Arabidopsis thaliana: one gene and its partner. The protein of the gene in region 2 interacts with the protein of the main gene of each other region in a pairwise test. Each region holds a gene or a part of one and is shown on either strand. Other genes may lie near its edges.

Region 1 (3,837 bases), on a different chromosome or scaffold from region 2:
TTTTCGAGAATACTTTAGCACGTTACAAAGTTAGCAACGAATTTTCTTTTTCTAGATATGACTTATAAGAGCCAAACCTTTTTATGTTATAGAAATCTTTGTCACTTTGAGATACTTTTATTCAGGATTTAATAAAGAGTGTTGGATAAAGCACGTGGGACCTTTTGCTCTCTCGAGATTGGCTCTTCGAGTCAGGAAAAGTTAAGACTGTGAAGCAAACCCTATATATGATACTGTATACAATATATTTTTTGGATAAAGGATTGTGTAAATTAAATGATCAAACTATATACTTACTATTCTGGCCTTAGTGGTTATAAGATACTAATATTATACTGTAAATGATCAAAACAAGATACTATTGTCAGAATGCGAAAAAATAAAGCGAAGTCCAACTTAATAGTTTACGAACTTTTACTTCATATTATGAGTCGAATGAGAGTGAATACTGGAATTGGTGATGATGCAGAAAACCGGATTAGACGAAACAAAGAGAACATAATACAAATCATTGGTATGGAACTGACAAAACGTACGAAACAATCGATGTTAAATGGTTAGAATAAAATTTGGATGATAACCATAATAACTGCAGTGCATGTATAATCATTAAATTTTAGCTATTTTTAATACTTGGAATAATAGATGTTTACTATTTTTATCATATACCTAAAGAAGTTCTTGTAATTTGTACTTAGTACCTGATTTGTCGTTCTAATCCTAAAAAAAGATTTGGTCCTTTGTAGTTTGCTTCAAAGGCCCCGAATCTGCATTGATCATGGTCTGGCTCGGGGGTGTTAAGCACACTTTTAACTAGTGATTATATGTCTAATTGGGACATCAATATACCTCCATGCACCTAGTAATGTGACCATCCGTATAATATGTGTACTATCTCTTCTTCAGCTAAAGGTTAACGAGCATAATCTGGTTAAGCCCTATGTTTGGTTTGCATTATAACAATCTCTCTGAAATTTTGTAGTATTTTCATCAATTTAAATTAGTATATTTTCGACAATTTGAATTGTTCTTTGAGTCTGATCACAGTCAAGTACACGAACTATATGCTGATCTGATCGAATTCATTCTACTATATACACACACATACACAAACATTTTACAGTACACCACTAATACTATAATCCCAATAACAAGAAAACCTAAAATATAAGTACACATTAACAAAAGAAAACAGTTTGCAAGTTATTAAGTGGTTTTTGGATTTGGTTTATAGTTTTTAGATTTTTGCATTAATTATATATATATATATATATATATATATATATATATATATATATATATATATTTGAAACTAAATATGAAAAAGTTATAGCGTTAAAAAGTGAAAAACCAATGAAACATAGATTTTAGATTTCCTTTAAAAATCTAGATTCCTTATTTTTATAAGGAAAACCATTTCTCCCAATCTTAATTGGCTATAAAGTAGATTTTTGGAAAAAACTTAAGCCATAAACAATTTCAAAAAATCTATAACCATTTCAAAATCTTTAATCCTTTTTTTTTTTTGTCAAAACAAGTCTTTTATCCAAATGAAAAAGCACCCAAGAAAAAAAAAAAAAAAACTATCCAATAATTGAGTCAGCTCTCATAGGCTTAAACAATACTTTAAGGATCAACATTAAATAATTACCACACTTGAGGGGTAAAACTAAAAACGGTAAATAAAACACAGAAAAACGACAACGAGGGGCAAAATCGAAAATAAAGAGAAAATAGTGGGATAATAGAAGAAAGCATCCAATGAGAGTAGTGAAATCAGAGAAAGACCTTTACTCCTTTAGTCCAATACCATCCAATCAATCTTTTTCTTTTTTTTTATAAAAATCTCTCACTGAGTCTTTTTATTTAAATATTATAAAAAGGAGAGAGAAAAAAAGTTTGTTGGAGGATTCGTCTCTCTCTCTCTCTCTTTCTCTTTCTCTCATCTTCTTCTTATCTCCCTCCAAAGACGGCGACTGTATAATCTATCATTTCTTCACAGTAACGCTTTCATCGGAAGATCTCGCCGGAAAAAAACTTCTCTCTGAGATCAGATCTCTTACGATTCTCAGCTCAATCTTATCTTTTCCTTTGTTGTGCTGCTTTTCACTCTCTTCTGCGCGACGAATTTGGCCTTGTTTTTTGTTTGTTTGTCGTATCCGACGCGGAGGTATTGAGAAACCGTGGCTTAAGACGGAGGAAGAAGATGGAAGCTAACGGGATTGAGAACTTGACGAATCCGAATCAGGAAAGAGAGTTTATAAGGAGACATCATAAGCATGAGCTTGTGGATAATCAGTGTAGCTCTACGCTTGTTAAACATATCAACGCTCCTGTTCATATTGTAAGCTTCTCCCTTCTTCTTCTTCCTTCATGCGCTCTGATTTTCTCTGTTTAAGTTAATCGGTTCTTCTTATTGTTGATTCAATCCAGAATTTGAAATCTCTCTCTATTTTCATCGATTGTTGATCTTACTGATGAAGAATCGATTGGTTTCTAATTATTGAAAGCTTACATAGCATTTGTGTAATCCCAATCTGAGTTTGTTTGATCTGGTTTTGCTTTATTGGAAAAAAAAGCTCCCAAAAACGCTTATGGATTAGTTTGAATCTCTCTGGTGAATAGGTGTGGTCACTTGTGAGAAGATTTGATCAGCCACAGAAGTATAAGCCGTTTATCAGTAGATGTGTGGTGAAAGGAAACATGGAGATTGGTACAGTAAGAGAAGTTGATGTGAAATCTGGACTACCAGCAACTAGAAGCACTGAGAGATTGGAGTTACTTGATGACAATGAGCATATTCTCAGTATCAGAATCGTTGGTGGTGATCATAGACTTAAGGTAATCAATGAATCAAAAGGTTCGTTTTCTGTTTACAGTGAATCAAAGACTTATATGTTCTATATTGTTTTTGGATTTAGAACTATTCTTCAATCATCTCTCTTCACCCCGAGACTATAGAAGGAAGAATAGGAACACTTGTGATTGAGTCATTTGTGGTTGATGTACCAGAAGGAAACACAAAGGATGAGACTTGTTACTTTGTTGAAGCTTTAATCAAATGCAATCTTAAATCTTTAGCTGATATCTCTGAACGTCTTGCGGTTCAAGACACGACAGAATCGAGAGTCTAAAGATCAAAGGAGTAAGAAACTATTGAATCAGAGAGATTTTGGTTGCCATGGATGAAGCTCTCAAAGGGAAAAAGAGAGAGTGGGTGAGTTTCTTTGAGGATGGACAAGGCAAAAAAAGTATCATCATTTATCCAGTTACATAATAAGTTTCTCATTTGCTATTTTTGGGGTCATTTCACTTTCAAACCCTCTTTTTAATTTCATGTGTCTAATTTAATGAATGTGTTTTTGGTTTCTTCTCTATAGAACCAAAATATGATTTTGGAGTTTAGCTTTAGCAACTTGCAGGAATCTTTTTACAATTTGCAGAGAAGACATGTTAAAAGTGTGTGTGATCATGGGGTTCCACTCTCTTCTTCCTTTTTTAACACTTTTAGTTGCACCCATAAAGGCCACACACCGTCTTTCTTATATTTATTTTTTCTACTTTTAAAGATGAACCAATAGGGTTTGTGAGATGTGAAAAATCTCCACAAAGGACCATTAAGGAAAGAGATCTTTGTTGTTGTTTATAGATTTTGTCTTGACTTGTGATTGGGGAAACACACTTTAGCTCCATTAGCTGTAAAAAGTTTTGTATACTATTTTTACAATGCCAAAGTGTTTCTGTTTCTTTTTTCCTAAATTACAGTAGTGGATAAATATTCGAATCGGTCACATTGACAGGTGGTATCATTAGAATTGCTTCTATATGTTTTCTTTC
Region 2 (3,600 bases):
GGGGCAAAGTGTGATTGATTCTTGTTTGAAGAGGAAAAATAGGGAGTCATATGTACATAAATAGATACGCCAGTGGAGAAAATGACTGATAATAATTAATGAGTGATTAATTAGTCGGCTGACTTTCTTATTCATAATATCTTCTGATCATATTTGTGAATCGTAATTGTTTTGCTTTTTAGATTTGTCAAATATGCACAACACCTTTTAACTATCAATTCGTTTTCTTTTCTGTTTAGTCTTTGATATATAGTTTTCTTGATATTTTGATTGGTTTACTAATTACTACAAGCAGGCCGATACTTTTAGTTATTTATATTTTACGAGGGAAAATTATGGTCAATGAACATATTCTAGTTAAAACATAAAAAGATATCACATATATAAGTAATTAAAATATAAAATTTTGTCATTTGTAAATATGTTTGGGCGAAAATGTTTGGACATCCCATAGGTTTTATGTGGCTATGCGTAAAGTTTCTAATAGTTAGACTAATCAACGTTCCTAAGAGATCATCAGAACTAGTTACACCTTACACGTAACGTTAATGATTCGTCTAAACTAAGAGACGATAATTAGCCACAATAGAAAATACTATATTTTGATTTTTGAGAAGTTTTATCTTCATAAAGCTTAGACATTTGAAAAAGAATAGTAAGATTATAACAAATATATTTTACAATTTTCAATATATACTAAGAAAGATGAATTTGCCTAAACTCAAAATTAATATGTGTAAGAATTTTTATAATTGGTTTTCTCCATTTCTTTTAACAAAATCATATGTATATTCAAATATACTACCTGGCAATTATTATATGCATGCTTATGTTGGTTTATGTAATAACTTGGATTTATTTTGTTACACTCAATTTCTATAAAACACAAATTTGAGATTTTTAAAAAATATTTATTTAAAATATCTTCATAATAATTCGAATTTACTTTTATATTATTTTTTTCTTTTGTATTCTCTAATTCAATTATATTTTTAACGTTACCATATATATATATATATATATATATATATATATATTACGCTGGTCCTAATTAGTAGTATAATCTATGTAACACCGTATATTTTGATTCTTTGAACAGCTTATATGAATAATCATCACATAAGAAGGAGCCTTCTTCATCACTATTCACTACATATAAAAATTCGTTTCAGAAAAAAAAGATCAATGTTCTGTCCACATCAGAGTATCAAAATAATTTTCTAAATTTAGTGCTACATCTTTTAACGACAATTGTATGTCAATGAGATAACTCCAATGGTGGAAACAAAAGAGAAGCATTACAAATTTGCTTTTATATATCTATAAAGCACTGTAACTATGGTTTTATAAATAATAATATCAAACTGGTAACTCATTCAAGAGTCACAGAGGAGAAAAAACAATCCATCTGTTTCATAAAAAAAGCAGTTGGATTCTATTATATCATGTGGATCTCGTGAACTACCATAGAGCCATGGATTAATCACTGTCATTCTGTCAATAATAATTCTATCTATTTATTATTCTGTTGTCACATATGTACAAAATATATGTAAACTTCTCAGTTCTGTCTGAATCGCTGAAATTTTCGCTAAATGTGCAATTAATTTCCCGATCGCTTGAAGTTAACAGTTACGACGAGAAACTGACGTCACTTTTTAATTATTGTAAAGAATGAAAAAGAGTGTTCGTATAGGGTAATTGTATTATTGTAAAAAACTATGTATCCAAACACAATAAATACACGAACAACATTTATTTTCACTCACTTTGATCACTGTACGTAATAAGGAAAAACATTTTATTTGAATGAATATTTGTACAGATTGGAGAACCACGTAAGCCCATCTCTTTTATTTCCAAAAATAACGAAAAATTCTCAAAGGGAATAGTTTATAATGTAAATAAAATTCCAAAAATAAAACACAAAAGATATAAAGCAGCAAGAGAAAAAAAAAGTCCATGCTTTCATATTCATTGCTTTAATCTCTCTCTCTCTCTCAGACATAGACACAGCTAAGCTTCCCATCTGAAAGGAGTTTCATGTCCTAAGGACCATATTATAACCTCTCTATCTCTCTCTAAGTATCAGCAAAAAAACAGAGATTTATAGAGAGAGAAAAAAACTATGGCTCACATAAAGATCTAACAGAGACAGTAGTATAGTCCCACTTCCCCACCACCAAAGCTTCGATCATCATCATCATCATCATCATGGATCCGGATCCGGATCATAACCATCGACCCAACTTCCCTCTCCAGCTTCTTGATTCTTCTACCTCCTCCTCTTCCACTTCCTTAGCCATCATCTCTACTACTTCCGAACCTAACTCCGAACCTAAGAAGCCTCCTCCTAAACGAACCTCTACTAAAGACCGACACACCAAAGTCGAAGGCCGAGGCCGTCGGATCCGTATGCCTGCCATGTGTGCTGCACGTGTCTTTCAGCTCACACGTGAGCTTGGTCACAAATCCGACGGTGAAACTATTGAGTGGCTACTCCAACAAGCAGAACCAGCGGTTATAGCCGCTACAGGGACTGGAACCATTCCGGCTAACTTCACTTCTTTAAACATCTCACTTCGTAGCTCAAGATCTTCTCTCTCTGCTGCTCATCTTCGTACAACTCCTAGTAGCTATTACTTTCATTCACCACATCAGTCCATGACTCATCATCTTCAACATCAGCATCAGGTTCGTCCCAAGAACGAGTCACATTCTTCGTCTTCTTCTTCTTCACAGCTTTTAGATCACAACCAAATGGGTAACTATCTAGTACAATCAACTGCTGGATCTTTACCTACGAGTCAGAGTCCTGCAACGGCACCGTTTTGGAGTAGTGGTGACAACACACAGAATCTTTGGGCTTTTAATATTAATCCTCATCATTCCGGTGTTGTCGCCGGAGATGTTTACAACCCCAACAGTGGTGGTAGTGGCGGCGGTAGTGGAGTTCATTTGATGAATTTTGCAGCTCCTATTGCTTTGTTTTCTGGACAGCCTTTGGCTTCTGGTTATGGAGGAGGAGGAGGTGGCGGTGGAGAACATAGCCATTATGGAGTTTTAGCGGCGTTGAATGCTGCTTACCGACCGGTGGCGGAGACGGGGAACCATAACAACAACCAGCAAAACCGTGACGGAGATCATCATCACAACCATCAAGAAGATGGAAGCACCAGTCATCATTCCTAGGCAAACATACACAAACAAATATATTCTGTGAGATTTATTTTTCTTTTTTTGTCCTTTCGTTTGTTTGTTTGTTCTTAACAAGCGTGTTTTTTTTGCATTGCTTCTTTTTCATATATTTTTATTTATTTCTAAATTCTAATATTCTACGGATTTCATCTTGTTTATTTTTCTGATTAATGTATTGAGTAAGTAATTAAGAACCTGATAATCGATATGTTTTAGTTTGTGGTTTTTGCATGCAAGGCTTTGGTTTTATTATTCTAGAGATTTTTGCTTGAAGTAGTTGTCTTGTGAAATGTTTTCCTCATTACTATTGAGTGTGAGAGTTTTCTAATACTTGATTAGGGTTTTTGAACAATTTTTATATATGTATATTAATTCAGTACGGATTATCAATAAATTATTTCG

What was found. The genes of interacting proteins can lie anywhere in the genome.
Region 1: the proteins of TCP15 (region 2) and RCAR3 interact in binary tests that used the Arabidopsis thaliana proteins (3 or more experiments, as listed by UniProt).

What each region holds. Positions count from the first base shown.
Region 1 is NC_003076.8:21,558,820-21,562,656, forward strand, and holds the start of RCAR3 (regulatory components of ABA receptor 3), read left to right. Parts: upstream 1-1,781; 5' UTR 1,782-2,206; coding exon 2,207-2,344; intron 2,345-2,625; coding exon 2,626-2,841; coding exon of another isoform or gene 2,842-2,921; coding exon 2,922-3,134; 3' UTR 3,135-3,837. UniProt on the Arabidopsis thaliana protein: Receptor for abscisic acid (ABA) required for ABA-mediated responses such as stomatal closure and germination inhibition.
Region 2 is NC_003070.9:26,214,235-26,217,834, forward strand, and holds the start of TCP15 (TCP family transcription factor), read left to right. Parts: upstream 1-1,774; 5' UTR 1,775-2,214; coding exon 2,215-3,192; 3' UTR 3,193-3,600. UniProt on the Arabidopsis thaliana protein: Transcription factor involved the regulation of plant development. Together with TCP14, modulates plant stature by promoting cell division in young internodes. Represses cell proliferation in developing leaf blade and specific floral tissues.